2 linked regions of the Oreochromis niloticus genome follow. The protein of the gene in region 1 purifies or fractionates together with the protein of each later gene. This does not show direct contact. Links are inferred from orthologs where the notes say so. Each region holds a gene or a part of one and is shown in the gene's direction. Other genes may lie near its edges. The genes, in order: mmp2 and col5a1.

The links.
Region 2: the proteins of mmp2 (region 1) and col5a1 purify together in Homo sapiens (co-immunoprecipitation; 3 studies listed by BioGRID and IntAct, counting the BioPlex papers as one, with this or other methods). This does not show direct contact. The link is inferred for Oreochromis niloticus from reciprocal best matches to the Homo sapiens genes MMP2 and COL5A1.

Annotation. Positions count from the first base shown.
Region 1 is NC_031965.2:30,272,720-30,289,257, reverse strand, and holds the start of mmp2 (72 kDa type IV collagenase), read left to right. Parts: upstream 1-10,237; 5' UTR 10,238-10,389; coding exon 10,390-10,542; intron 10,543-10,738; coding exon 10,739-10,965; intron 10,966-11,730; coding exon 11,731-11,879; intron 11,880-12,537; coding exon 12,538-12,666; intron 12,667-13,434; coding exon 13,435-13,608; intron 13,609-14,310; coding exon 14,311-14,484; intron 14,485-15,284; coding exon 15,285-15,458; intron 15,459-15,609; coding exon 15,610-15,765; intron 15,766-15,885; coding exon 15,886-16,012; intron 16,013-16,538.
Region 2 is NC_031972.2:14,590,049-14,606,356, forward strand, and holds the start of col5a1 (collagen alpha-1(V) chain), read left to right. Parts: upstream 1-8,981; 5' UTR 8,982-9,389; coding exon 9,390-9,489; intron 9,490-16,308. UniProt on the Homo sapiens protein: Type V collagen is a member of group I collagen (fibrillar forming collagen). It is a minor connective tissue component of nearly ubiquitous distribution. Type V collagen binds to DNA, heparan sulfate, thrombospondin, heparin, and insulin.

The DNA of each region.
Region 1 (16,538 bases):
GGGTCATTTGCAATACAAGGACAGCAGGAAGAGTGAAAGTAGTGAGACCTTCACATTCACAAAAAGACAAAAGGCCAAGCTGGAGAAGACAGAACTAAAGCTGCTTAGATTGTCACTAAGAGTGACCAGGAGGGATAGCATCAGAAATTAGAAAAGCACTAGAAATCATATCAGAGTGACAGCTCAGGTTGAGCAGTTTGAAGACAAAGTTACAGAGACAAGGCTGAGATGGTTTGGATATGTGCAGAGGAGGGATGTTGTACAAAGGATGTTGAAGATGGAGCTGCCAGGGGGAAAAGAGCAAGACTACAGAAAAAGTTCACAGACGTAGTGATGGAAGACAAGAAGAGCGTTGGTGTGACAGAAGAGTTAGGGATAGGGTGAGATGGAGGCTGATGCGCTGTAGCGACACCTAAAGGGAGCAGCTGAAAGAAAAAGGAGATAGCATCACAAAGTTACACATGTATCATTTTGCTTTTCTGTATGAATTGTGGTCTCAGTTTCCTGTTCTTAGCTGACAGGAGCGATCCCCAGCGGAGTGGCTTTGTCTGTTTTGTGCTGCAGTTTCACATGTATCATTGGCCTTTTCTCGATTCAAGCAATTTTTTAATCTTTCAAATAATATTTCATTTTTGCATCTGTCCATGTTTTACCCTACATTAGGCCTACATTTTTCAGTTCTCTTTCCAAAATGAGAAAGGTTTTGATAAACGCTTATAACCACTTGGTGTCAAAGTCTTAAAACGGTGGTTAAAAGGTTTTTATTCATTGGTTCAGAGTTCAAGTGATTGACTGACTTTGAGTGTTTTGACATATGTGAATAAAGACTTTTGCACTTAAGTCTTTTTTGGGAGCTTTTGTTAGGAAATTTGCCTTAACTGTTTTGAGTATTCTGACTACTGCAAGAGTGATTAGAGTGACATTCATGATGTGAGAATTGCATCAAAGGAATCAAGGAAAACTGTAGTATAGTGATCCAAGAACAGAAAGTACTAATTCATATTGCACTGATATTGACACATCACCTTTCTGGTCACAGTCTATCCATTTTTGCGTATTCTAAATGCTCATATTGACATGAACAAATGAAATACAGAGAAGTGAAATAAGGTCTCCCTCATATGGCCCGATGTGAAAATTACTGTCTCTAAGAAATTGCAAATATCAGAAATATAATGTGTAATATATAATGTTGTGGATTATGTTCATATATATATATATATATATATATATATATATATATATATATATATATATATGTATATATATATATTGTAGCCAAGCATCTCACTGATCACTGCCGTAGTGTAGATCAGCTTGTTAGCAAGCTGCAAGCTGTCCGTACCTGAGGCCTTGGAAACTGCCAAGCAAAGACTCACAGCCTTGGCCAGCCGCTTGAGGAGGTACACCAGAGAGATAGAAGGCAGGAGAATAAACCAGCTGTTCTCCACAGAACCAGCAAAGGTGTACTCTCAGTGGCAAGGGAACAATAAGAGAACAGCACCACCAAGGCTGGAGACGGAGCAATACTGGAAGAGCATATGGGAGAAGGACGCAACCCATAACGGCAATGCTCAGTGGCTAGTGGATCTGAGGGCAGACCACAGCAACCTCCCTGAACAGGGTCCAGTAACCATCACAGTGGCAGATATCCAAGAAAGGGTCTCCAGTATGAAGAGTTGGACAGCACCAGGGCCCGACATGGTTCATGCCTACTGGCTGAAGAAGCTGACTGCACTCCACGAACGTCTGGCAGCACAAATGAACCAGCTGCTAGTTAACGAGAGACACCCGGAATGGCTAACCGAAGGTCGGACGGTCCTGATCCCCAAGGACCCCAAGAAGGAACCGGTCCCATCCAACTACCGACCAATAACCTGCCTCAGTACTACATGGAAGCTCCTGTCAGGCATCATATTGGCTAAGATGAACAGGCACATGGGTCAATACATGAGCAGGACACAGAAAGGGATTGGCAAGAATACCAGAGGCGCAAAACACCAGCTACTGGTAGACAGAACAGTCAGCCGAGACTGCAAGACCAGACTGACCAACCTGTGCACAGCCTGGATTGATTACAAGAAGGCCTATGACTCAATGCCCCACAGCTGGATACTGGAATGCCTAGAACTATATAAGATCAACAGAACCCTAAGAGCCTTCATCAGGAACTCAATGGGGATGTGGCGTACAACACTAGAGGCCAACTCCAAGCCCATAGCACAAGTCACCATCAAGTGCGGGATCTACCAAGGAGATGCTCTGTCCCCACTGCTGTTCTGCATAGGCCTTAACCCCCTCAGTGAGATCATTAACAAGACTGGCTACGGATACCGACTACGAAACGGAGCGGTTGTCAGCCACCTCCTGTACATGGATGACATCAAGCTGTATGCCAAGAGTGAACGAGACATCGATTCACTGATACACACTACCAGGCTATACAGCAATGACATTGGAATGTCGTTCGGACTGGAGAAGTGTAGTCGGATGGTAACAAAGAGAGGGAAGGTAGTCAGAACTGAAGGGATTGAACTACCAGAAGGCAACATTGCAGACATAGAGGACAGTTACAAGTACCTGGGGATCCCGCAAGCGAATGGGAACCATGAAGAGGCCGCTAGGAAAGCTGCAACCACCAAGTACCTGCAGAGGGTCAGGCAAGTCCTGAGGAGTCAGCTGAACGGTAAGAACAAGATCCGGGCCATCAACACCTACGCCCTGCCCGTGATCAGGTACCCTGCTGGGGTAATAGGCTGGCCAAAGGAGGAGATAGAAGCCACTGACATAAAGACAAGAAAGCTCCTTACCATGCATGGAGGGTTTCACCCCAAGTCCAGCACCCTGAGGCTGTACGCTAAGCGGAAGGAAGGGGGCCGGGGACTGGTGAGTGTCAGCACCACAGTCCAGGATGAGACAAGAAACATCCATGAATACATCACGAAGATGGCCCCAACTGACAGCGTGCTCAGTGAATATCTCAGGCAGCAGAAACCCAAGAAAGAGGAGGAAGGCGAGGAACCATCATGGAAGGACAGGCCCCTGCACGGTATGTACCACCGGCAGATAGAGGAGGTGGCTGATATCCAGAAATCCTACCAGTGGCTGGACAAAGCTGGACTGAAAGACAGCACAGAGGCACTAATCATGGCAGCACAAGAACAAGCTCTGAGTACAAGATCCATAGAGGCTGGGGTCTATCACACCAGGCAAGACCCCAGGTGCAGGCTGTGTAAAGATGCCCCAGAGACAATCCAGCACATAACAGCAGGGTGCAAGATGCTAGCAGGCAAGGCATACATGGAGCGCCATAACCAAGTGGCCTGCATAGTGTACAGGAACATCTGTGCCGAGTATAACCTGGAAGTCCCAAGGTCAAAATGGGAGATGCCCCCAAGGGTGATGGAGAATGACCGAGCTAAGATCCTGTGGGACTTCCAGATGCAGACGGACAAAATGGTGGTGGCTAACCAACCGGACATAGTGGTGGTAGACAAACAGAAGAAGACGGCCGTAGTGATCGATGTAGCAGTTCCGAATGACAGCAATATCAGGAAGAAGGAACACGAGAAGCTGGAGAAATACCAAGGGCTCAGAGAAGAGCTCGAGAGGATGTGGAGGGTGAAGGTAACGGTGGTCCCCGTGGTAATCGGAGCACTAGGTGCGGTGACTCCCAAGCTAGGCGAGTGGCTCCAGCAGATCCCGGGAACAACATCGGAGATCTCTGTCCAGAAGAGTGCAGTCCTGGGAACAGCTAAGATACTGCACAGGACCCTCAAGCTCCCAGGCCTCTGGTAGAGGACCCGAGCTTGAAGGATAAACCGCCCGTAGGGGCGTGCTGGGTGTTTTTTATATATGTATGTATGTATGTATGTATGTATGTATCAGCTCTTGCTTACTATTGTGCATTAGGGGAAAAAAAGAAAAAAGAAAAAAACCCACCTGCCCTCTATCACACTAGGATCAGCAGATTAATCTCGGTAAGATGTAACACACACAGATGGTCAGACAGAAAAAATTAGAAAAATATGCCATATGAATACATTTGTCTTGTGTAATATCAAATAAGATTCATCTATCACGGAGATAATGGCTTGATGCATTGGTATACTTAGCATAGAGACAAAGTTAATTTCTTTATAGGCCAAACTCCTACCAAGATTCCCTGTAATAAAAATCTTTTATGTGGGAGTATTATATAAATTGATTGTAAGCCATCTTTCTGGTTTGCACTGATTAATTTGTGCTTACATTTCATTGCTGCAAACACAATGCACTCAGGATATACTGAGGAATTACTGGATTTCTGCTGCTAATTTGTTGTTGTTGTTAAAAAATAAATAAATAAACTGCCTGTTGAGATTTAGTTATTACACTACTGAGTTTGTTGTTTAAGAGGATGTAGACAGAAATGTGATATGCCAGTTTAGAGAACCACGGTCACAGATCCCCAATGGTCAGTGGGGCTCCACTTCCTGTCAAAGGTCTTTCTCAATATCCTACAAACATGGTGCTTTGCATGCTATCCAGTAGTTAAAACACAGGGGGGCTGTGGGTTGCAGACGCAGTCCTAAAAGTGACTCAGATCACAGGTAGCAGCAATAGAAGGAGGCATGACTTCCACGGGTGGAACACTGACTCATACATCCACCCAAGTCTACAGCTACATCTCAGAACAAAGCTGTTTTCATGCAATACATGCTACACTCTGGCCTTATGGTAAAACAAGCCATCCCTGTTGATAGATATGGAATCTTAATGTCAGGATAGAAAAGCAAAGGCCTTTTGCAATACTCATAATAAATCAAAATTATGTCAAGGATAACATCAGAAACCGACTCACCTTATAACAGAAAACTCTCAGGCTTTCAACATCTTTTGCCTTTTAAAAATGAACGTATTGACCATCTACATCTACAAATATCTGTCAAAAGTGCATGCACCTAATACCCTTTTTAAAACCAGGAATTAAAAAGCTGTGTTTGTTAAACTGTGTTCATACAGGATACTCAGCTTTTTTTGTACTTGCCAGAGGGGAAAAGAGTACTTCAACCTTTTCTTCCTAACAAGGTGAGAGAGGTCAAACTGGAAAAGCACAAAAAAAACCTTTATCAAATCACGCACCCCCCGACTTCAGAGGTGACATTGGGTTTGTTATTGACACAGAAAAGGAAATTCAGTTTTGTCTGGAATTTGCGATGGTACAGCCAAACAATAATAATGTATGACCCACTGAGCTTTAAAGGAATTATGCTTATCTTCCAGGAAGCAGGTTTGGTGAGTTAACTGTTCGGATTTATTTCAACTTTACATGTGACTGATGACTGAATTTGGAGAAACAAAAAGCAAAAAAAAAAACAAAGTTAAATCAAGTCCAGTTGTTGAAGCATGCTGCAAGATACACATCAAATTAAATTCACACAGTCTGTTTTTGTGTGTGCCATCTAATTAGATTAAAGCTGCTTACCAGAGCATACTGCACTTTCTTGAAATAAAGGCCTGTCAACTTTCCTGTCAAATTTCCCCAATAAAACAAAATATTAAACCGAATCTGTTCTTCTTTGGCAATTAATGATACAGTGTGACAATTCAATACACTAAAAAGATGCTCAGAAACCAGGAAAGATGTTGCCAGGCCTCATGGCATTCTTTCTTTAATGAGTTAAAGGAAGTAATTGATTTCCCAAAGGGGCGATGTTGTTTTGGAAACACTATTTTCATTTTGTTCTAATGGACAATTACTTAACATAGGATTGTTTTTTTCCATTCCTAATTATACTCCAAGGGAAAGAAAAAAATCACTATTTGCATAAAAAGTGGTGTTCATCTATGAACTCAAATTATAGGCAGAAATATTTACAGGTAAATGGTTTCTGGAGGCTGGAATCCTGTGGTAAAGTTATAATTGTCTAAAGCGTTTACTAATTTATATGTTAAGAGAGGCAGAAGCTTCCAAACCTGACATTTGCAAACTACATAATAGCTAATGTGCCGCACAGCTCTCAGAACTGTCAAGAGCACCAGACAGATGGCAGCATTTCAACACTCCTTTCAGTTACTTGCATCATGCACTATTTCATTTTCATCCAACAATCCAGGTAGCAATGTTCCTGACTTTTCAAGGCTATCCATTTACTGTGACGGCCAAATCAGATCCTTACTGAAAAATTCATCCCCAAATGTCAGCCTGCGCACAACAAGCAATCGGCATGGCGCTCCAAAATACCACGGTGAATATTTTAGAATAACTAAAAGCAATCCAAGGTAGACATTTATATTTCATATGCATGTCCTTGTACCTCACGATATCTTTGAGAGTAATTTGTCTTTGATGTAGGCGAGGCATCAATATTTGAATTTCTTAAAAAAATCACACTGGATCAAGGTCAAGACCAAGAAACTGGATTAACAACAAGCTGTTTAGTTGGTCTAAGGTTTGTTATTTGAAACTTATAACCTAAACTTTTATATATACTACAGATAGACATCATTTATATGTACTTGTTAACATATAGATACTAAGCTACAGAGGTAGAGAGATAGCTTTTCTGCTGTAAAACAGAGAACAAATTGTGAAATGTTGTGGCACGGTCAGCCATCTCTTCACTTGCTTGTTTCCATCTGCTGTTGCCAGTTTCTGCCACAGAGTGGTGCAGACGCTGCTGTCTTGGAGTGAGGCAGGGCCAGCCCCGTGTCCCATAAACACACACAAATCATTTACATGCTGTACTCATCAAAGGCAACTCTTCCTCATCTCCGCAGAGATTTGCTGCTGATCTGAGCTTCCAATATTGCATCTCGGCTAACCTTTGCAACTGCCAAGAATGTGATTAATTTTTTAAATACAGCTGTTGACCTATTATTCAGATGGAGAAGAGCCACGCGAGACACTCATCTCCTCTCCGCTGTATAATGGAATGCATTATTGCATCAGTGTTTACAAGGCGTGCTAAAAGAGAGACAGAATGAGGGAGAAAGCATTAAATAAAGCAATTCAGCTAATGTCGCTTTGGGCCTTGTGCACACACAAAATGCCAATCAAAAGTCGCAATTCTTTGATTCATTGCAGTTTGCGCTGGCAGTTGCATCTGAGAGAAGAGCGGTGACACAATGTGGAACAATAATTACCCCGCAGTGTTAAAGTCCTCCAGTGTCTTGGTGCTTTCATAAATAAAATATGTTCAAGATAATGGATTTATGCTCAATAATTCATCATCAGAATGTTTCAAACCAAGTGATATGTGTCGCAGTATTCTGTAACACAGCGCTTAGCCAAATTAAGTTATCTTGAAACAGATTTATTGACAGGGCTACTGCTGTTTTCATTTACTCAGCAACCATTTCTTAATTACCCCTGCAAAACACATAAAACAAACAATGCCAATGGACTGATTCTAAACCACTCAGTGTCATTATTAACTACACACCACGCATTCAAGTCCAGACCAAAAAGTACTGAACATTACAACTCGCTCAAACACTTTGAGTGGCTCTGAGTTAGAGTGAGAGGAGAGCAGTGGGACTGTGATATTTGTCATTCATGACCTTGGTGCTAGCCAGCCATACAGGCAGTTTGGTTTGATGACCCATCAGAGAATCTGTCTGGGTCCTTGCAAGAGCCAGAGGACCAGGGTGACATCCAGGTCTGCGGTCTGTTCAGCTGGACGGGGGTCAATCAGTGGGGCTGAAGATCCAAAGCCAGCTGGAGAGCCATGATTTGACTGGCCTTCATGTCCAGAGTGTCCCATTCCCAGAAGCAAGAGGAGGCCTCACTGGCACGTTGGAGAAGGCTGCTCATCCTCATAATTAATTGCATGAGTTTGTATGGTGTAGGACCAGCACAAGCATATTGCGTTTTTGCATTAGATTGCTAGAAAGAGAGAAAACACACACACACACATATATGACATATAATGACACACATGTATATATAAACAATGAAGTACAAATCATCTGTGTTAGTGTAAAGCAAGCCCTACCAATGTGATTATGGTTAAATCAGTTGTCTCAGCCACAAACAAATACAAATGGGACAGATGCACTTGCAATCAACTGCAACAAGATACCCACTTTAAATAAAAACAACTGCATTTCATCAAAACACACATGTGCGGTGCTTAAATCTAGAAAAGGCTTAAGCATCCAGCAGAGAATGAGGGAGAGAGAAAAACAATTTACATGCAAATCAAACCTTATCATCTCCATCTCTTTATGCCACTTTTGCCGACAAAATTGCATTCATATGCACAAAGGCATTCAATTACTGTAGCTGTGGCTCAACTTTTCACATACCAGCATTTTCTATTTGGAGAGGCAGGCCCATGTACATTTAATAGGTAGCCATTCTGTTCCCCGGCTCTGTGAGAGATCACTGCCAGTGTGTCAGTTAGAGGAGATGGCAGCATGTATCAGTGCATGAAATAAAGCTCCTGCTCCAAAGTGACAGGTCCTGGATATTGTTGGCAAATGGATGTTAAATTCACTCTGCAACCACCAACAGCAGCCCCGGCTATGAAAAATTAACTGTACTCTGGCTAAAGGGAAGGGAAATTGCTTTGCTAGATATACCACAAAATCCTGTTTGTGAGCTATCCATCTGTCAGATCTCTTTGCAAAAAAAGTCCTTCAGCTCTCTCTATTAAAGAGTCTGCTCTCATATGCTGTTCAGAGTAATCCAGTATGAGAGCGGAAACAAAGAGATGTCAAAGAGAGTTAGAGTAAATCCTAAATCTGTGCTGTAGATTACAAATCAGGAAAGAACACTGGCTCCAAGGGCCACAAAACAGACCAGGTACTTGTTATATGTGAGCCACTAGAGGGCACCAATCACCACTGTAACTATTCAATAGTTAAAGTAGGTTAGTTCACTTAGTGTAAATTATAGTACATTACAGTGCTTTGGGAAGCGAAGCGTTATACACCAAACTACATAAGAAAGATTCTATACGATACATTTTCCACTGCACAAAAATATTTTGTAAACCTTTTATATACATATATATATGATATTACAAATCTTATGACCAGGCACAGTCCAAGAATAGTATATTTACAAGGCGTTCTATTATATATATCTACATCTTTCATTTGCAGATTGCTGTCGTTAAGTAAAATGTCTGATGAGGTTTAAAGTCAACTCATGGTAAACAGCAATATATTTATTTATCATATTTTACTGTGTGTTTATTTTCTATAACATGTATACTAGGATAAGTAAGCGTTAGCGAACATCGCCCCCCACGCGAACACACACACACACACACACACACTCATCCTTTGTTTTTGTTTTTTTCCTTATTAGTTTTCATGGGTAGAATACATATATGGTCTCTTTTTAGCTTCCAAATATTGAGGCCAGTTTCGCATCCTACCAGCAGATGTCAATCTACCACTTTCAATAACTTCTGGCCTTTCTGCAATCGGGTGTCGCTGTTTTTCTCTCCTGGCAAGGTAATATATTGTGTGGTGACGCTCAGCAGCTTTGTACGGAAGCGTAGAGCTGCTTTGCGTCAGTGAATTCCAAATTAATCCGGTATAATGATCCCCCCCGCTCCCTCTACCCACCGCAACGCGAGTGGTTATTTAGAAATTCATGAATAGGGATAGAAAAGAAAATCGGTCGCTGGAAGTCAGAAAGTTAGAAGGGGGGTGTGGTGGTGCTCTCAGACAGCAGTGAGCAGTGCAAAAAAGTACCAAAAAAGTCGAGCTAGAGGCGGATAAAATATATGAGTACCGCCCACTTCTACCAATTATAAAGTTATTGGCTGAATTGGTTGACAGAACGTAATTTAGTAAACAAATAGGTGATTTTAAGTTTGGAAAGAAAAATGATAAAGATCATCCCCAAACAAACAAAAAAGTCAAACAATGTGCTGAAACCTCTTGTCATGCAGGTTATAGTTTATCTTGGAATCTGCACATATTAATTTAAGAAATACACACTTAAAAAGCGGAAGGTTTTCATTGGTTTAATTGGTCAGCTTGGGCGAGAGCCCAAAATTGGTTAATTTCTCCACTAGATGATTATCCTACTCTTTAAAAAAAAAAAGATAAGGAAACAATAAAAAAAGAACATTTTTATTTATTTGTAGACGTTTTCTGGTAAAAGCGGGTGACTAAGAACTGTAGTCGATGAATCATTCAGCATTTGATTTGCTGGTTCGTCCCCATTTCTTTCCCAACCTGGAGACTGCGCAGAAGGCGTCGGGGGAAAAGTGCATGTGCAAGCAGAACTAAGAAAGTTTGCAGACCCGAGGTGCAGGATGTCCCGTTAAGGAGAAAAAAAAAATCCTGCTGAGGAGCAGAAGCAACACAAGCTGACGGGCTGAAAGGACTGCAACTCAGAGCGAACGGCACTTACCGCACAAGATATACTGTTAACCCGAGAAAATGGGCTTTCCGACGATATTCAGTTGTCGTCGGAGTCTTCTCAAATTGTTTTTGCTTCAGTTCATCGCGTTCCAAACAGTAAATGCTCGTCCTTCTCCTATTATCAGGTTTCCCGGAGACGATACCCCCAGAACAGACAAAGAAGTTGCTTTGGTAAGTTTCTTTTTCTTTTTTTCCTTCCTCAGAATATGTCTAAGTAGGTCAGGCAGCAATGAACTGTTTTTACCCCTGGAGTACCAGAAATGAACAGGAGTAGTTTTCACATTATTTATTTCTTATTGTTCTAATTTTATATAAAGATACCCTAACAACGCTAACCTATTATTTTATGTTTTTATCCAAACTTTAGCATTATCTAAACAAGTTTTATGGATGCCCACAAGACAGATGTAATCTTATGGTTCTCAAGGATACCCTGAAGAAAATGCAAAAGTTTTTTTCTCTGCAAGAAACTGGAGAGATTGATTCCAAAACTGTAGAGATCATGAAAAAACCCCGCTGCGGTGTCCCAGATGTGGCCAATTATAACTTCTTCCACAGAAAACCCAAATGGCAGAACAAGGACGTCACCTACAGGTCAGAGAATTAACAATAACACACATGATAATGGGAGTGAGTGCCAATCCACTGTGACTCCAAATTAGTTCTCAAACAATTGCGGAGGTTTTAATCAGCTTGGCCTGCAAAATGGTTATGGCATTACCACTGGGTGTGATCTAATAGTTTTTGAGTTACTTGGCATGCTGCACTTTAGGGAACCATTTACTGCACAGCACTTTTTTAAAAATCTGTTGCTTTAACAATTGCCCATAAATCAAAGTTGTTGATACTGAGAAATATTTGCCCCTGTCTGACCCTCTAAAACCGGCCCCACCCTCTCCACAACCTCCATTCCACACTACCCCCATCCCCACAGTCTGAAGTGCTTGCATCTTTATGTCTCGCTAACACCAACATTCCTACACAGTATGTGTCAGGTCCTTTGTTTTCATTCTGTTTGAGGTTTACTATGATGTGGATGTAGTTTATTTATATCAGCGGTTTTGCGTGTTCTGATCATTCCAGCCTCTCTGCCTGTGTGTTTATAAGAAAGACTGGAAGCCAAAGACAATAACAACTATGAGATCTTAGACTGTTTTCAGGAAAAGGACTGTGTAGACAGGCATACAAATGGGTTTGCGGCTGAACATTGTTTCAGGAGGCGCTTTTACAGATTACTCATATTGGCCTCTTTATTTTCCATGATGTTCAGTAAAGAAAGGAGAATTTGCAACACTCACAGATTGTCCTGATTGGACAATCTAAATCATGCTTGTTTGTCTTGTTCTACTCAATTTGTAGAATCCTGGGTTACACTCCCGATCTGGATGAAGAAGTCATAAATGATGCTTTCTTCAGGGCCTTCAAAGTATGGAGTGATGTCACGCCACTCACTTTCACCCGCATCATGGATGGAGAAGCTGACATCATGATTAATTTTGGCCGCAATGGTATACTATGTGTATAAACATCACGCTATGTAGATATTCCATTTGTTATTTGAAAACTATTGTACATCTGTACTCAGGTGGGTTTACGAGGATCACAATTAATAAAGAAATGTATCAGTTTGTTTTATAGTAATACGCATATTGTAAGCCCTCAAAATACTCCTTTTATTGGATCTGCCACATCTTTGTAATAGAATAAAGAGATTGTGCTGCAGGATAAAATTCTAAGAATGTTCCTATAATAATTAGCACAAGTCAATATTTAAACAGAAGCTCACGAGTTCTAGACTAATGCTGAAGGAGCAAAAACATACATCTTTTTAAAGTAACATTCTTTTCAAAGTGACTCTACACCCCAGCCATCCTGTATTTTAGGAATTCTCTAAAGGCAGTGGGGATTATGGTATTAACCCAAGTCATTCCAAACATTCCAGCTAAAATAACCACTTGATATTTACCCACATTCTGTCTGGTCACAGCTGACTGTATTCAGAAAGAATCTAGTAATTACAGGGGAACGCAACCGAAAATCGGCCGCTGAAGAAGACATGGAATTGTTGCTTCAGAAACAGAAATCTTTGCATACATGAACAAATGTCACATCATGTCTTAAGTAGTCAGTATACCTGTTTTGATTGGTTAATGATGTCATCAATAGAGCATGGAGATGGTTACCCCTTTGATGGCAAGGATGGTCTCCTGGCTCATGCCTTTGCTCCAGGCCCAGGAATTGGTGGAGACTCTCACTTTGATGATGATGAGCAGTGGACACTTGGAGAGGGGCAAGGTAATGAAAGAATGCTAGTTACAAAAAGTGCATGCAGCAAAACCACCAGTGTCGATTTCTTCATTTATTTAGTTCTTCATTTTTTGCTTAGACAAGTTCATTTAAAATTTTGTCTGGTGAGAATTTGACATTGTAGAAACTAATATAACTTTCAGATACTCTTTTCCAAGCATCTTTTTCTGGCACCTGACATCATTTCAAACTACAGACATCTGGAAGCTAAATTTAAAAAAATCTCTATTGCACACATTTGTATTCGCATCCATTGACCCAGATAGTTTTACTCCCAAATACTTCCCCTTTTTTAACATCCTTATGTCTGGATATTTAATTTGTGTGAAAATAATCTATAAACCTACTTTCCATTTCTCTTGGTGCTAGTTTCAAACAGATGAACAGATGAGGATCTCTTGGATGAACTTTTATTTTCTCAATATGTGTTTGTTGTTCATACTGTTACATACAAATCATTTGTACCCTGCATTATACAGTTTTGTTGGACATTTTTCAAAGCCTACTTTGAAACTGCTTTCCAAATTCTAGACAACAACATTTGCTTTAACTTCCAGGAGAAGCTTGCTATGTTATTGGTTAGCTTGCTTATTACAAAAATTACCTTCTAAACATGTGTGAAATTAATGCTACAAAGTTTCATAGTAAATTGAGAAAGCATCATATGAAATCAAGCACCATAGAGTGAATATTCATATAGCTTCACCTCTTTCTATACATAAGTATGTATCTATGTATGCATTCTTTGTTTTACAGTGGTGAAGGCAAAATTTGGCAATGCTGATGGCGAGTTTTGTAAATTCCCTTTCCTGTTCATGGGCACTGAGTACAACAGCTGCACACCTCAGGGTCGTGATGACGGTTTCCTATGGTGTTCCACCACTTACAACTTTGACGAAGATGGCAAATATGGCTTCTGCCCTCATGAATGTAAGCTTACCCAGTGGGTCCCTTTATTGTTAAAACATATACTGTATGTTTGACATGCAGCTGCGATGTCTGTTTGCACGTTTTGCTTTTGAAACTTTTGTGGCCCCACATGACCTTAGATGGAGTGATATGCCCTACTTGGATCTTATTGAACCAGACAAAACATTTAATTAGTCTTTCAGTACTAGTAAAGTAATACTTAATATCACATCATAGCTATACTCAAAGCTGTTCTGTTGATTTTGAACATGAAGAAAGTAGGTTGGCCAGGAAAATGCTTTTTTTTTTTTGTTTTGTTTTGGGGGGGTTTTAGAGTGAATTATGGAACATTTCTTCTCCAAGTTACTGACCCACTTTACAACATGAGGCTTTGTCAAACATTTTGTTTATCTCTGTTATGTTGCTGTCCATGGTACTAACATGATCAGACGCTATTACAACTAACTGCCAAAATACACGTTCAAAGTCATTTTATGTGAAAAAACACAAGTAAGGCCTGTTTATACTGGAGTCTTCTATTTTGTTAAGCTTTAGTTTTGAAGTTAAAAAAAAAAAGTTCCAGTGGTACCTATCTTCTTAATTCAAATTTTTTTGGTTTTGTATCGCAATTGCATTTCGTTTTTAATTAGAAGAATGTAAAAACAAATACTGTTTTTAATTTTATTAGGCCATCTATAACTTCATTTGCTTTGTGATTTGCAGTACTTTTCACCCTGGGTGGAAATGCAGAAGGGGCTCCATGTAAATTCCCCTTCAACTTTCAGGGGGAGAAGTATGATGGATGCACCACTCAGGGCAGAGATGATGGCTACCGCTGGTGTGCCACTACTGAGGATTATGACCGCGACAAAACGTATGGCTTTTGCCCTGAAACTGGTAGGTGGTGTTATGTGTTGTCTCTTATTCACATAATAAATAGCCAAATGAAAGATAATCACATCAAGTTGAAGTCCACTTAGGTGTGCATAGTGGTCACGGTGTTCATTATGCAACAGCACTTAAATAAATAAATATTTCACTAGCTGTGCTTTTTTTTGATGAGCAGTGCATAGTGCCTTGCCATATGTTGGGCTACAGGAATTCTGCAGCTGTGGTTTTTGGTTATGCTCGTGGTGGGCTGAATAGCTATAAAAGTATTTTAATGTGCAGTAGCAGGGCCTATTTTCCATTCTGTCAGTAGGACTTGTTTTAGGGTTGAGGTACCGGGGTAGGGAGAAAGGCATACAGGGAGAGGTACTACCGTTGGTGCTTTCATCTGGTTTTATTTGATTAGGGATGAGGCTTTGCTGCAGAGGCCTGTGTGAGAACTTGTACCGAATAAGAAATTATGTTGTTGTTGTTTTTTTACTCTTTTCTTTCTTTCTCTCTCTCTCTCTCTTTTTTAACACAAAATCACTCTTGCCAGACTGAAAATGATCTCTCTTTGAAAGAAAATCAATTTGGGTGGGTGCATTTTGGTTGTGTGCCTAGTGGATTAGTTATTGATGTCGTGTGTGTTGTGCCAGCTGCTTTCATCCCGCTATTTCTGAACATCATCTGCACTCATTTCATAATAACCCAAACTTTTCCGGAAAGAAAAAAAAAATCACTTTGCATAGTGAATTTATAAGATAATTAGCAACTGAATTCAGTACATATTTTGCATTTATTGTTTTGCATTTTGTTGCTGTTACCAGCAATGTCAACAGTGGGGGGCAATGCAGATGGAAGCCCCTGTGTCTTCCCTTTCACCTTCCTGGGAGACACTTACGAATCTTGCACCACCTCTGGACGCAGTGATGGCAAAATGTGGTGCGCTACCACCAAGAGTTACGATGATGACCGCAAATGGGGTTTCTGTCCTGATCAAGGTAAAAGAATTTGCCAGTGGTATTTGGGGATATTTTTTCCCAAGAGCCAATGGATTGGAAGACACTGAATCTGTCTTTTTCTTTTTTTTTTCTTTTTTTTTTTTTACTGTGGAAAGATAATAGAGATTTGTTTAAACTAACTTGTTTCTAGGCTACAGCCTGTTCCTGGTAGCAGCCCATGAATTTGGTCATGCTCTTGGTTTGGAGCACTCTCAGGACCCCGGCGCACTGATGGCCCCTGTTTACACTTTTACTAAAGACTTCAGGCTCTCCAATGATGACATCAAAGGCATCCAGGAGTTGTATGGTGAGAGAAAATGCCACATATAGTCAAATACCAATAAGTGACTGGGAAAATGATTATGTTGTGAGTGCATCATTTGCAGACCCCTTTAAATAATAAATATTGTGGTAAATCTGACAACAGGTGTGCCAACAGACAAGCCTTTGCCTCCAACCCAGGGTCCTGTCACTCCAATGGATATCTGTAATGAGCCAGTGATCTTTGATGCTGTAGCACAGATCAGAGGAGAAACATTCTTCTTCAAAGACAGGTAATCATCTCAGTTAGCAGCTTGATGTATGGTTTTTTTTTAAAAAAAGACTTCAATGTAAGAAAAGTCTAAAGCCCAGGCAAAGTGTTTTAGATATGCAAGCTGTAATGTTCCCAGTTGCTCTTTTGAGTCTTAAATGCGATGTAAAGGCTGAGTTTGTGAACACTGAAAGCTCTGCCAAAGTCCTGTTAAATTTCCTGTCTGTGATCTGTGCGAAGAGTGATAAAGAAAACGAAATTGCCTGCTTCAGGCTGTATCGTCTTGCGTGACTGAAACAAAGCAGCCTGCACCAACTGGATTTCACAATCACATCCCTGCAAACAATGAGCAGTTTGAGATGAGGTTTCTTGTTAATTATGGTTTCTCTTTTTACAGTCTTGTGCCACTTGAAGATTGTGGGTAAATGGTTGTTTTGTGATATGACAATTAGTAAGAGTTGAAAACAAGCTATCCCTCTACTCACGCAGTGACAACCAAAGTAGTCATCATTCATAAACATAGTCTACACTCCTCTTCTCCACCGGCG
Region 2 (16,308 bases), on another chromosome or scaffold:
ATCATTTCTGATAAAACTAATATTTTACCTCATAATTTCAACTGCCGGATCAATTTCAGAGGTGTAACACTTGACTTCCAGGTTTGACAATGGAGAAGTAAAATTTACAAGTTGCAATTGGGCTTCTTTTTTGTCTTTGACTAATTTAAATGATTGATAATGATATATATATATCGTTAGCTTGATAGCATAATTGCCCAAGTCATTTTTTTGTGTTTTCGGAAAACAAGAAAAAACTAATTTTCTAAATATCACATGCATATTTTTAATTGATATTTTCACAGAACATTTAAGTATATGTGAGGAAAAGTATGGAAAAAGAACAAAACCCAACATCATTTCTTTTGTCTAATAAAAGTGACTTAGGCAGATTATGCCTATGACTTAGGCAGTTTTTCTTCAAACTATAAAATGAACATGACATACTATAATGTAACCATAACACACTGTAACTTTTCAATTTTAATCACAAAATGGCAGCTAGAGTAAGGAGACTTACTCACTTCACCTCACCCACCCATTAATTTGCAGAGGAGGCCTGTAGGCTCATAAAAGAGGTGTGCGTGTGTCTATGTGTGTTTGTATCTGTCTGTGTGTGTTTGTCTCTCACTTCTCTCTCTTTCTCTTCGTGTGCGGGTGTGTGTGTGTGCGTGTGTGTGTGTGTGTGTGTGTGTGTGTGTGTGTGTGTGTGCGTGCGTGTGTGTGTGTGTACTATTTGGTAGGCTATGTATACTACTGATGAGGAAGATCATCATAGTACTTGTGGGCCACTCTTGGTAGTACATTTTTCATTGACTGTAAGTCACTGTATTTCCTCAGGGTGATGGGCAACTGAGCAGGAAAGAGTGGGATCCACTTGAATGGCTTGTTGTCGGGTATGCTGATGCGCCGAGGCAGGTCTTCCCAGTCAGATTCAAAATCCAGCTTGTACCTGATCCGTCCATCAGTCAAGTACTGCAAAGCCCGGAGGTCATGGACTGTGGGGTCCCCAACTTTTTTGCCGGGTCGAATATTGGTGACATAGGTGCCAGATAACTTCATGAAGTCATTGTGGTATAGTTGAGTCACCCTGTATGGGGATGGATTAATGCGTGCAGCCTCAAAGATGACAACGTAATCTCGTGGAGTGTAAACGTCTTGCACAATGCGCCGTTCAATTAGACTGTGCATGGAGTCACACTCCATCTGTGTGTGGCCTGCAACTAGAAATTTCTGCTCAATGCTGACACCATGCTTCATGGCCAGGTAAAGGTAGGCGTTGCTGATGGTAGCACACCGGTTCTGATACCCGCAGCCATCACTCCAGACAATGACTTTCTCAATGTTTCTGTTGGCCTGTAGGACAGACTCAAAGTGGTTGGACTGCAGATGTGCAAAAACCTCACTGCTGAGGGAGCCTTCATGTTCTTCCCAAGCATAACAGTACCCATCTCTGTTGTTCATGTTGAAGCAGGTAAAGTTGTGCATCTGTAATTTAGTTTTGTAGTACATTGTACTTGCTTTTGTCTGGGGGCAAAGAAGAACGCGTTGAAGGTCCATTGTCCACACTGAAAGTGTGTCACTGGATTCATTTTTGTCTGCAGCCTTTTCAGCTTGAGCCTGACTCTTCAATCTCAAGTGTGTAGCAAGAGCATCCTCATCTGTATTTCCTACCTTGGCGCTTACACAGATGTCACATTGGTCTTTTTTTGGAATGAACACAGAGTAATCCTGCTCTCCAAAAACCTTCCGAAAGTATGTCTCACTCACAGCACGCTTTCCATTCTCATTGGCAGCATTCTGGTATTCCTTGTGAAGCTCTCTCAAAACTGTTCCTGGCTCCAGGAACTTCTTGTTCTGATAAGAGGGAACCTGGCGGCAGTAATGGGATGGGACTGTAGGTATTCCAGAGAGCCACTCTTTCAGGAAGGCCTGGTCTCCATCTGATATTGGCATATGAGGACCAGTCTTGTTGATCTTGGGGTTGGGCTGGGTATGAGTGTTGGGTTTCATGCCTGCAGTTAACCATGATCCAATGGTTCTCAGGGCAATACCAAGTGTGGAACAGAAAAGATTTTTGCACACAGGTATTTTGCATCTATCTGAGAGTTGCAGGTGGTATAGCAGAGATGTTGTTCTCCTTGAATCAACACCACCTTTCTTCTGTTTTATGGGCACATTTTCAACAACAGTCTGGATATACACCTTGCGTGTCTCCCAGGAAGGCATGGACCAGAAATTGTTGAAGATTCCTCTTCTCTCAACTTCAGTCAGTAGCTCACAACTTCTTGTCGTTGACTTGAAGCAGTGCTGTGATGTGCATGGTGGGCCCATGGCCTTTGGTGGTCTCTCCTGTCCCATTGTATTCTTGTAATTCTCTCCCTTCAGACGCTTTTCTTTGATGACATTTTTCTTCCACGTATGGGGCAGTGGACGCTTGTGACGAACAGCAGAAGAGCTGGGGGTTGGACTGGCTTCCTCTTCCTCTGCTTCCACCTCCCCTCCTTCCTCTTCCTCCCCTTCATCTTCGTCTCCTTCCCCTTTCTTTTCCTCTCCTTCATCTTCCTCTCCTTCTCCTTCCTTTTCCTCTCCTTCCCCTTCCTTTTCTTCTCCTTCATCTTCCTCTCCTTCCCCTTTCTTTTCCTCTCCTTCATCTTCCTCTCCTTCCTCTGGCTGCTTATCAGTCTGTTGCCCCATATCAACATAATTTCCTCCTTCTCCCTCATCTATATCCACCAACTCCTCTAAGTTCACATCAACTTCCTTTCCTGATGATACAACAGAAAATAAAATGCTGTTGGAGTATCTTAAAATGGTAAATCAAGATGACATCTAAATCTACTTGTGTAGTCAAAATGTCTGCTATGTAAAAAAAAAAAAAATCAATTTGTACTATTAATATCAAATCAAATCAATTTATTTTTGTATAGCCCAAAATCACAACAACAGTCGCCTCAAAGGGCTACATGAATATTACTGGCAATAGAGTTCAACCAGTATCAGTCATTTGAACACAGTCAATATAAAGTCCAATTTAACAATTAACAATGAACCCAGGGCGTCCCCCGTCCTTAGACTCCCCTCCTAATAAAAAGCAAATGTTTGAAACATAATATAATTTGCAAACTTGCTGAAAATGCTCAAATTGCCTTTGAAATTGCCAAAGATTTACTCTGGTAGCATGCTGCTGTTAGCTAGCTGCTAGCTTGTACTACATTACTATGCTAATGCTACACTACTAACGCTAATGTTAGCTAGCCATCATACTTTGTTTGCAACAAAAAAGTAATCTTTTAACATGGTCATAACCTCTTTGATTGAATGAAAATACATTTAGTGACCAAAAAACTAAAAAAATATGAACTTTTACCAGATGTAAATGAATCAAAAAGAAGAGCAAGGGCTTCACTTGCGGTCAACCTCTTCTTCTTATCAGCCATTTTGCATACATCAAAACTGCCTAAGTCAAATTGATTGTAGCAAAACTGCCTAAGTCCAATGGTAAAACTGCCTAAGTCAAATGAATGACTTAGGCAAGTATGTTTTTTGACTCTTATGAGTGTTGTGATTGGCCAATGACATAGGCAGACGGACAGGATGATGCAGCAGTGGTAGGGGAGTAAAGTTAGGCAAAAATCTCAATTTGACCAGAAAATGACTTAGGCACTTATGCTATGAAGCTAACGATATATATATATATATATATATACAACTCCCAGCGCGCCCCTGCGGGCGGTTTATCCTTCAAGCTCGGGTCCTCTACCAGAGGCCTGGGAGCTTGAGGGTCCTGCGCAGTATCTTAGCTGTTCCTAGGAATGCGCTCTTCTGGACAGAGATCTCCGATGTTGTTCCCGGGATCTGCTGGAGCCACTCGCCTAGCTTGGGAGTCACCGCACCTAGTGCTCCGATTACCACGGGGATCACCGTTACCTTCACCCTCCACATCCTCTTGAGCTCTTCTCTGAGCCCTTGGTATTTCTCCAGCTTCTCGTGTTCCTTCTTCCTGATATTGCTGTCATTCGGAACCGCTACATCTATCACTACAGCCGTCTTCTTCTGTTTGTCTACCACCACTATGTCCGTTTGGTTAGCCACCACCATTTTGTCCGTCTGCATCTGGAAGTCCCACAGGATCTTAGCTCGGTCATTCTCCATCACCCTTGGGGGCATCTCCCATTTTGACCTTGGGACTTCCAGGTTATACTCGGCACAGATGTTCCTGTACACTATGCCGGCCACTTGGTTATGGCGTTCCATGTATGCCTTGCCTGCTAGCATCTTGCACCCTGCTGTTATGTGCTGGATTGTCTCTGGGGCATCGTTACACAGCCTGCACCTGGGGTCTTGCCTGGTGTGATAGACCCCAGCCTCTATGGATCTTGTGCTCAGAGCTTGTTCTTGTGCTGCCATGATTAGTGCCTCTGTGCTGTCTTTCAGTCCAGCTTTGTCCAGCCACTGGTAGGATTTCTGGATATCAGCCACCTCCTCTATCTGCCGGTGGTACATACCGTGCAGGGGCCTGTCCTTCCATGATGGTTCCTCGCCTTCCTCCTCTTTCTTGGGTTTCTGCTGCCTGAGGTATTCACTGAGCACACTGTCAGTTGGGGCCATCTTCGTGATGTATTCGTGGATGTTTCTTGTCTCATCCTGGACTGTGGTGCTGACACTCACCAGTCCCCGGCCCCCTTCCTTCCGCTTAGCGTACAGCCTCAGGGTGCTGGACTTGGGGTGAAACCCTCCATGCATGGTAAGGAGCTTTCTTGTCTTTATGTCAGTGGCTTCTATCTCCTCCTTTGGCCAGCCTATTACCCCAGCAGGGTACCTGATCACGGGCAGGGCGTAGGTGTTGATGGCCCGGATCTTGCTCTTACCGTTCAGCTGACTCCTCAGGACTTGCCTGACCCTCTGCAGGTACTTGGTGGTTGCAGCTTTCCTAGCGGTCTCTTCATGGTTCCCATTCGCTTGCGGGATCCCCAGGTACTTGTAACTGTCCTCTATGTCTGCAATGTTGCCTTCTGGTAGTTCAATCCCCTCAGTTCTGACTACCTTCCCTCTCTTTGTTACCATCCGACTACACTTCTCCAGTCCGAATGACATTCCAATGTCATTGCTGTATAGCCTGGTAGTGTGTATCAGTGAATCGATGTCTCGTTCACTCTTGGCATACAGCTTGATGTCATCCATGTACAGGAGGTGGCTGACAACCGCTCCGTTCCGTAGTCGGTATCCGTAGCCAGTCTTGTTAATGATGTACGCCACATCCCCATTGAGTTCCTGATGAAGGCTCTTAGGGTCCTGTTGATCTTGTACAATTCTAGGCATTCCAGTATCCAGCTGTGGGGCATTGAGTCATAGGCCTTCTTGTAATCAATCTAGGCTGTGCAAAATGTATATATACGTATACATGTATATATATACATGTATGTATGTATGTATATATATATATATATAGCTTTACTATTCGGTAAAAAATTATGTGAAAGCAAGAACAAATATTTTTTTAAAAAGCCACTAAACAAACTAGTTGAAAGGCTTTCTTACAACTTTTCCATCCATTCATTCATCCCAATCTCCTTACCCAGTTCAAGGTTGCGTACACACAGATTTTCTATGAAATAAATGGGGACAAGACTTAGGTCATATTGCTTTATTAAAACTAATATGCAATTTCATTAAAACGGCTTACAGTAGGAACAATCAAAGAACAAATTTGCTCCTATATTTCGTAGTGACATTTGTCATGAAAAGACAAAAAGAAAAGAAAAGAGAAGAAAGTCACTTTGGCCCACCAATAGCACTACCAATTTCAGAATTGGTAGTGCTATTTTTTTCCCCCCAAATAGTTGAATTGCCTTTAGGCGGAGGCATCATGCTATATGTATTTCAGCTGCACCGATAATTATCACTGTAAAACTGTGAAGGTGATTTATGGGTATATTCTAAAATTCAATGTTTTTTTTCTGTTTCAAATGTACTTAGCTGTAATAGAAATGTAAACATATCATTCCCGCACACCTTAGATAGAGATTACTGCTTAGGGTTAAGGTTGCGGTCAGGTTGGGCACCATAAAACGTGACTGGTTAGAAGCACTAAACACATCAGTCTGGAATCAGACTTTACTTCCCTCGCAATCTACTTTTGTGACTAGTGTATTCTAATGTTTACCCTTCTTGGAGCCATAGTACAATCAACGCCAACCCGCTGAGAAAAAGCACAAATTACACGCAATTTGCTGCAATCAGGTGTTAACAGTTTAAAGGCTCGTGTCAGTGTGTCAGTCGGCCCGCTGTCATACGCAGTTTTAAGTGCTTAGCTCTGACCTAAGTAATCCTACTTTTTAACCTCCAAACTTAAATCCTTTTTAATGACATTTAATTAAAGGTCAAATCAATGTGTGCCAGTCAAATTCCATATATATTTATGGGCCCACCTGGCAGGTACTGTAACTAATCTCAACATGTGACTGCAGTTTATGCAGTGCATGCTTTGATTTAGTGCTATATAAATCTTTACTTTGCTAATATTATAACTTGGCTAAGCTTGAGCCAGCGAACAGCTGGTGCACTCTGCTCATAGTATATGTTTACTGAGGAAACTGTCAAGCAAGGATGTGGAATTTCTCAGCTACTTTTCTTTTTTTCAGCCACAGTCTCACCATCCTTAGGTGTCACTAACAGCAGACAAGAATTAAAAAAGAGAGCAAAAGCTGGATGATAATAGTAATAATAATATTAATAGTAATAGAATGCCTGACAGACTGTCAGACTGTCATAGCTTGCCTGATATTTGGTGTGTGTGTGGAAAACAAAGTGTGGAGAAACTGATAGAAACACTTGAGTAGTAAATCATAATTTCCTGTTTCAGACACTATATGCTATCTTACGTCTCACAGGGACTGTGTTTTTTTTTAGCAAATGATGAAAGTCAAACTCAAATGAAAGTTAACCAGCAGTGTGCCGGCATCAGCGTATCAACATCCTTTTGGTTAGAAGGCAAATTAAGTAAGCACGTGACGGCCTTGTTCACGAGTAGTTTGGAGTCTCTGAGATTAACACAGTGTGGGCAAGTGTGGTGTGGGCACGAACCCACCCTAAATATAGGGCTCGGGCCATAATTTGACCCATGTTACCACGTAACGGTTACAGTATATGGGTAAGCGGTCAGTTTAGAAATACTACTTTATACTTAATGTAAATTTCTACCCTGCTTTTGAGAACAAGCTTTTCGTTTCAAACAACAGAGGGGAAAAAATGAATGTCTTTAAAACCAAGGAGTTTTTCCATGTGGCCAAAGAGGTCACCTGAGGATCTGAGAGAGCCCATCTGAGAGACTTTCAAAGGTGCTGAACTAATTTAACAAGCTTAACAGCCTTCAAGTAAAGCTGTTACTCTTAAAAATCCTACAGCGTGTAACATAAAACACCTCTTAGTCTGAATTTAGAGGACTAAAGTTAGAGGGACCACGTTCAGACTCATCCTTTCCTATCCTATCCCACTTCACAATGTGACATCATGTCACGGTTTCCAATGTTGCTGCTTGTTTACTTTGCTTAAAACCAACTTTTACTGGGCAATTAATAGAAGTCTGCCCCCCACTGGAGGAGGCATGTGACAGCTTATAAAAGACAGCTGCCATTTTTGGCAGTTCTTGAAACAACAGAAAGTTTGAATCTCATGCCACATTCAGCTCTAAAAAAAGTGTTATTGGTGACTATATGGCACTAAGTGTTGTTTTCTTGTGTGTTGCATTGTTTGTTGTCTCTCTATCCTCATCTTTTCCATTTCCCTTTTCCCCCCCTTCAAACCAGCTTTGCGGCACATGGCCACCCTCCCTGAGCCTGGTCCTCCTGGAGATGTTTCTCTTTTTAACCCTCAGCTTTTATTTTTATCCCTTTCACTGCCATATAAATTCTTATCATTGATCACCACCCACCTCTGCTCCTCTAGATTAGGGTTGTCAAACATAAGCAAAAACTCTATTCGAGCCCACTGGATGGCTTTGGAAATTTAGGAAAATTGGGTATTTTTAAATGTATTTTCACAAGCTTTACAGCTTTTCCTGCTGATAAGGCCGTTCATACAACACCAAAGCAATTAAGCAATAGATTTCTGTGTTTTACACATTTACTTCTTACAATTCAAGCCCAAAGAGTCATGCTGAGAGATTTCTTTAATTTACTACAGAGGCATTACTTTGCCACACAGAGAGAGTGGGACATACTGTTGAATTTGAGCTTCTTTTTCTCATATTGAGATCTTGCATTGATTAAATGTGTAGTTACATTTCTCTACACTGACATAAAGGGTAGTTTCACTGGTCTGACCCGCATAAGATCAAAGTGGGCTGTATGTGGGAATGATATTAAATGAATTCACGTCTCTGCTCTAGATAAAGAAACCACATAAAAGGTGGAAATTCTTTTACATATTTACTTTTATTGACTGTTAAACATTAAAGTTTGTGGTACTAATGAAAAAACTTCAGAGGGTAATAAAATCTGCAAGCACATTATTTCATCATATATTCAACAGGTTTAAAGCCCGTAGATCACCGATTAACATAAAAAAAGATATGAGCTTTGAGTGGATTATTCCTTAGAGTAAATATCTGATTCATTTAAAAGGGAGAACATTACAAATAGATGTATATCTTCACTATATATCTGATCATCTAGCCTCAGTATACTGTTATATCATATGGTTGAACTAGCACTGGGGGTCCACCTGTGGATTGTACAGCACGATTTTTCTCGCAGTCCCATGGCAGTCAGCTCCAGATAAATCAGCTCTTGCAGATAAAACATCTCGCCTTCCCACCTATAAAAAAGCAGTTTTGCTTTTCCCGCTCTGAACCACGTCTCTGGAAATAGCGGACTCCATGTAAAAGAATTCCGAGCGCAAGAGCTGGAGGCGTGAAACTTTCACCTCAACTTTTCCTCCCACCCTCGGCCAATAACAGGGCTGGCCCTAATATACAGGCTCCTCTGATTTGCCCGAGTCTCCTGTCCGCAAAGTGAGTGACAGCCTGGGGGGGAAGACTTTTTCCCTCTTCTGTGCGAGTGTGTGTGTGTGTTGCCCTGTTGACTTGAAGGGGCTCTACGTGACGACTGAAAGAGAGGGGCCAGCACTTCAGATCGGAGGCGCAGCGGTGCAGGACAGTTCAGAAGCGCAGAGAGGAGAGGAGTACGGGAGAGACGGTGGCCGTCCGTCAACCAGCTGGGGGAAAACTCACACTAACAAACCCTTATGGCTGCTTGAGAAATAACGACATACCCCCCTCCCCCTTTTTTTTCTCTGGGACTTTTTTTGGCTTTTAGTTTTTTTTTTAATTGTCCTGACCAGAAGTTTTTGCAAGTCTAATTAGCTGTTGAAAAAGTGAATCCACTTTGCCGTGGACGTCTCTGGCGGTCATGGATACCCATATAAGATGGAAAGTTAAACGGAGGATAAGGGACGTCCAAATCACTTTATCCGTGATTCTCCTTTTTATCACGTCGCAAGCAAGTTCAGGTGAGATGCAGCTGTGTGGGGTTTTTTCCCTTTCTTTTTTCTTTCTTTTTTTGTGGATGCACTTTGGAGGAGCCTTGCACTGAAAAGTTTTTTGCCTTTTCGCTCATAGTGGACCACAGATGTCTGCCCCTCCTCTTTAATGTATTCAGCTTGGTGGTGTGCCCCGAAACTATGGGAAGTTGTCAAAAAGAATTAAAAGACTGCTTTTGGAGGTTTCATCTGCAAGTTGTGCATAGGTTTTTTTGTTGTTGTTGTTTTTGCCAAAGCAGTATAGCTGAAGTGCATTTATTCATTTGAATGCATTAAAAATAGGAAATATATGCATTAATTAGTAACCATCATAAGTAACTAGTTTTTTTTTTTTTGGCATACTTATTATGTAGGAGTAATTGCTGTGGTGCATCTTAAAGTCTAAATACTCTTTTACCATTGCTTCTTTTCAGCAGATGAGAAGGATGGGTATAATTTTCATAAGAAGGAGGGGCTGAAGGTCCTCTGAAGTGGTAGGGTGGAGCCGCCTTAAGGACTCCACATCAGGGGACAGCGCTGGGGCCCTGCACTGAGGCTCAAGCAAACACATCTTTCACTAAATGCATTCTATAAATTCTCCCGATGTTTCTCAGTGACAGTTATATGAGTCTAATCCGAAAACATGAATAAATAATAGTTTGGTATGCCAGTTAGAGGCCCGCTTATTTTAATTGGAGAAGTGACCACCTCTTCGTCTCAGTGGTGAGAGGGCATGCATTGGGTTTATGTTTGGCCTATATGTATTATTAGCGCCTTAAGACTGCCTGGCATGGGTGACGGGCTGCTGTGTGCTGTGAAGGTCTGACACAGGACATTGAGATGAACAGATGGCTTCTTCTGTCTGCTCAGGGCAGTTAAAAAGCTTCCATGATTGTGCTGATGGGGTAAATTTGTTGTGATGCCTGATTACAGACGATTATGGAGTTCAAAATGCACTCCAGTTTAGAAAGTAAGCCATGATAATAACATATGAAGTTGAAGTGGTTTTATAGGCTCATATTGTTGAATATACACTAAGAAATCTACTGCAAAGTGTTTATTTTCGTGTTTCCTATAAACACTGGTTGTTAACTGGACAAAACTTTGGTCACTGTATGCTGGCTGGACTGAAATCTGGGTCATTTTTGATGACTGAGGAGGAGTTGAATTTTTGGTGGGACATTAAAGAGCATGGGCCTGAGGTCATTTTGATGCTGGTGGCTGGATTTAATCATCTCTTGAAACTGACAGAGAGGAACGAGAGTTTTGTAAGAAATCCCTAAGGGTTCTGGTACATTTTCCGAAACTTGACACATGCCAGACAGGAAGCACTTCATGACTGATTGCAAGAAACATGCCGACTCCATGAAAGCTTTTTTTTGTGAACTAATTATTCTGTCCATCAGTTGTTTTTTTTGTTTTTTTAGATTTTACCAATCATTATTTTAAAGTAGTTGCTTTCAATTAAACACTGTGCAATGCAAAAATATTAAATCCAGTTTTGCTATTAATACATTTTTTTTTGCTTAATGACTTTTCTAGACCTTTTACAATCAGATAAGACAAATGGTCTACAAATAATTACTGACAATTAGCAAGTTTATCACAAGTGAAAGCTTATCGCTGACCTAAGCCTCATCACCTCTTAGCCTGAGGGAGGACCAAAATGCATCAAGCTGAAGACTAGTAGAGACCTGCCCAGGCATACAATACTACTTGTTTTAGGGCTTGTCAGCTATGTTTAAATTAAAAACAAAAAAATTAAGTATGCTTTTTTTTTGTTTTTTTTTGTTTAACACTGAAATCAAAAAGGGCAGTTGAGCAAATACCATTTACTAAAGAATTGATGTTGTATTCATGTTTTATCACCAGCTATTTAGGTATTAGTATGATGCTAATTCCACAATGGTTTTTGTTTTGAATACAATACCCAGTCAAGATCATAGCCTAAAAAATTTCTTATCAAATCATATATATGTTCATAAATCTATAACAAATGTATTTCCTATAACTAAAATGCATATAGAGCTCAATAAAAAGACAAGCAAACAATACAGCAAGGCCTAACCTATTAGCAGTTAGCATATTCTTTACACAATGGGTTACTTACCCATGAAATATAACTACATTTTAACTACATTTGATTCAGAGCCTATTTCACTGTGAACTGTTGGCATGTGATACTTTTTGAAAGACAGAAATGAGTTAATAAACAAATACTATAAAGCCACGATCTGTAAACGAAAGCGGTTTGGAAAATGATGCTAAAATAGCCTGCTATGTGGAGCTAAGCTAATTTGTTGCAGCTTTATTACAGTCTCTCTTAAAGTATAAAAGACTGCTGTTTTGCAGGCTTAATGCTGTGTGTCTGCTGTTAAATGTGGCTTAGCTTATTTGGTGCTGAATTATATGAAATAAGCTCCTGACTCATTAGTTTATAAAGACAAATGCAGAAATATGTATTGAATTTATAAGTTATATACTTGTATCACAGTGTATATATTTTAATATTTTGCGGTCAGTTTGTCTTTCAGTAGACTGAAGTTTAGAAAGACCTGGTCTTGGTATTAGAGAGGAAAAACTCAGTTTAAGCTATGTGAAAAGCGGTAATAACAGAAGGCCCTGGACAAGAATGAGAAGAGGGGTCAGAGTTCAAAGGTGAAGGTCAGGACTGCTGTCAGGTTTACAGTTTCACTGCCTGAAGAGAGGCATTCTTTATAGTGTAGCTCCTCTCATCTTTGTTTCCCATAATTCTTCTCTGTCTCTTGGAGGCAGCAGGGTAAGATGTGTGCTTTTCAAAGAACCTTTGCAACAGTTTGAAGTTCCCGAGCCAATATAAACCCTGAAATGCAGAATTCAAATTAGGATTGATTGATATGTAATGTGTAGTCTCTACTTTTTAGCTTACTGATGTTTTCAGATGTCTGTGGGACACAGTATAACTGCTATAGACGAAATCTAGCTTAATTTACAAATGGTTTCCTTTGTGTTTCTGCTGACTTGCATTTTTTTAATCTGGTCTCCTCAATCAATGGACTCTTTTCACAAGTATTAGATAATCTGCTTTGACTCTTTTTTCTTTGGTTTGTTGTTGTTTAATTAAGCAAAGTTTTTTTGGATCGCCCTTGTTAATAACAGACATTTAAACCAGATCAGATCCTACTTGTCGAGTGTATTTTAGTCATCAAAAATGCTGAAATAACATTCTTTGAATACCTTGTGCAAATGAAAACATGAATGGGTTTTGGCCAAAGTCACCAAGGGCATTGAAAATATTGGAAGAAAAGGCTGATCACAAAATATGGTAGTGACTTGAGAAATACACTATATAGTAAGAACTGATATTTGTTGATTCTCTACATACGTTTTAAAGAAATATAGAGAAGAAGGCTTCGCTGTTTCTCTGAGCTCCTTCCCATCTGGACTTGATAAGTTCCATTGTGCTGTCTGCTAAGCCCTTCAAAAAGCCAGAAAAAATGGCTTCCAGATGTTTTCTTCCCATTCTATGTGGAACAGGGGACCATGAAAAAAAATACTGCTGCATTTTTTTTCAAGTGAAAATACATTCTGTGCTAGTTTTAGAGAAGATTTCTAATCAAATAACATCTGCAGTCTTAGAGCAGATTTGATAAAAAATAATGATGCTACGCCTTGCATTTCAGCAAGCTCTGCACATACACATTGAGGGCCCTTAAAAGCTTCTTTCTGTTTAAGCAACCCAGGTTTATGGCAGGGTTAAAGGTCGACTACAGCTGGTCCACAGCTGTTTTTTATTTATAGTCTCATATCTAGACAACTCGTTTTCAAAAGGAATTTATGTGGCTTACTTCGTTTTTGCCTTTTTTTCTTCCATATACCCTTCTTCATGAGCCCAGTAAGAAAAAATCATAGAAGATACTGTGACCGGAGAGATTTTAACCACTTGCTAATTGGTAATTGCATATCAGTTTATATAAATTAAAGGCAACGATGCCAATGTTTCATTTACAACATTGGGTTTTAACCTTACGAAAGCTTGTTCAGGAGGGATTTTCAGATCTATGTTACCATCACCCATCTGCCTTAGCTTCAATCTTCCAGTGAGAATGTAACTGTAATTTTGCTCTGAATTTCTGAAGGGCTTTTCTTACTTACCTTGAAGTGGCAATCCTGAGGTCATGTCAAACTCAATCAGATAAATGGCGATGAGAAAAAGTGGCTTCTTGTGTGTGCCTATTGCCATGGCGCTGAGGAAGGAATCCGAGTTAGCTGTTCTGTGGGGAGAAGCAGTGACCCTGCAACTGCATGTGCCACTTCAGCCCTGTAAATACAGGCTTTGTGGAAACGACTCTGTAAATCAGCCCTAATGCCTGATAATAGCATGGAAGATAAAACAAAATATGCAGGACAAGTTTTTGACCCCGTGTCAGAGTTAAGGAGATCCTTTGTGCTGCACAAATAGTTCATTATTTGCCATATCTTGGACAGTATATCGTCTAGTCCTTTCCAGACTAATTAAGGTTCAAATAATTGTTTTGAACCGCTCAATGGTCCTCTGTACTCATGACACAGTGTGCTTGATTTGAAGCCAGTGGCACATTTTTCTCCAAATTAGCTTATTGCTAAAAGCACACAGACATAGATGGATCATTCCAGCTCCAAATGCAAGCAAACGAGGACGATGTGTTCCTTACACTCTCAGAGACAAATGGAACCAAATGGAGACAGTGGTGTTGGAAATGTCAACATGACCCTACGAGTGATGTAAAAGTTGGATGCTCTACCTAATGATGCAACCCCCCGCGCCTGTTTTTGATTTCAACCCTATGCTTTGTTGCAGCATGTAGTGCATGGCAGAGTGAAAAGTGAATTCTGGTCCAGGCTCACAAGCCGAGTATTCACTTTAGCTGGGAAACAGTGCTTCTCTCTGTAATGGGGTATTATAACCATTGAGCATGGAAAGCAATGTATGACTCATCCTTTCCAACCCCATTCCCCCTTCCCCAGCCCGAGCTAAGCCACAGCCTGGGCAGCAGAAATACTGAGTGTAAGCATTTTTTTCCTACTAGGGGGAAATACAATGGCTTTTTGGTCACTCTAGAAACTTTACTGTAGCCCCATGTACTCTTTAATTTATTGGTTGACAAATTTAGAAGGAATTGAAATAATAACACAGTAAAAAGTAAGGTTTTGCTTATTTAGCAGTGTTTTGTCATGAAACCATCCTCAATGAACTTACAAGGGAGCAACAAGGGAACAAGCTTGAGTTTCACTCATTTGCAGAAGCAAGCTGAATGAAGGCTAAAGGTCCCGGAAAGGAAACCCTGTTTCTTATTATCTGCCCAGTTGCAAAATGGTGACAATATAAGAGGAAAATGTTCACTGTCAAAACATCTTGCAACAAAATAGCGTAATTTAAAACACGATAAAACTTTTACCCGTATTTAGGGAGTGACTATCGTCCCCATTAGATATTGAAAAGCTAAAAGTTGAGACAAAAAGGGTTTTGGTTGCACAGATATGCTAACCAAAACCGCAATCTTTCCCTATCCTAGGCCAAAACTCTTTTTTGTTATGCAAACTCAACCACAAGTTGTACTCAGAATACAAACTATGGCCTGTGGCATTGATGTCATGTACTCTGTTTGCATGAAAAACCCAGAAAATGTTTCCAATGAAAGTAAAAAAACAACAAAAAATTGTGTAATTTAGAGTCTTGAGTTACAGTTTTGTGAACAGACTCATGATAAGAAGCAATTTCATACAGTGATGCTCTAAATGAAGTTAGGAGCTAGTGCAGGACCTCCAGAGTCTAGATGCTAGTGGTGATAATGTAGAATTAGTAAAAGGCTCCCTGGACGAGATGGTGATGTGTAGGGAAAGGAGGGCTGTATTTTAGGAGGAAGGCAGAATGCTTAAAAAGTAAAGGCTACTTCAAGAACAGGAAGTGATTGATTTTCAGAACACAGATAGAAAGGATTGCCAGACAGGCACAGTTATGTCAAAATTGTTAAAGAAGTGAGTTTGACAAAGAAAGCGAAAATGATGAAAAATAGAGCAACAGAACGGGACTACAGCAACACTCTGACACACAGAGGAACAAAAGCAAACTGTCAGGGAACAGATCTTCCTCAGTGAAATTAACCTGAAGGATCATTTCTTCTAGACTTCAAGACTGTGCATCTTATCATAGTTAGAAGCTGATTTTGATCACTTATACTGCAGCTGTCTGTCATTCCTGAGATTTACTCATGCTTTAACTTCTGTTCACCCACAGGCTTGATGTTGCTCAACTGTGACACTGGTTAAAGTGTCAGCAGGAGATGAATTGATGGTTGACTTGGCTGTCAGTGCAGCTCGTTGCGTGTTATCTGGCACCGTGATGAGATGGCAAGGTTTTGTTTTTCTGCAAGTTTCATATAAAGACTGTATAATGAGAAATGTGACTGATAGTTTATATATTCCTGTTGTTTTCGTGCCTTTTCACACTTCATTGACTTGCTTTTAAAAGAAAGAAAAAACTTTGCTCATTCTTTTCTCTGTGATTTCCATTCTCACCAGTGACAAGCTTGCGTGTGTGTCTTGAAATGATGCTTTCATTTACTTCTCCTTAGCCATGCCTTCGAATGTAAACATTCCCAATTTAGAAATATAATTGGATTTTTATTGGACACACAAAATATAAAGCATGTTCCACCACACATATGTCTAACCACTGTATTATTGATTATGTGGGCTGAGTGGGACTATTTCTTTATGGGTCATTGAGTTCACTAAAGATGATGAAACACCTTCTTGGTGAGAAAACATTGCACATTTGGATTGATTCCC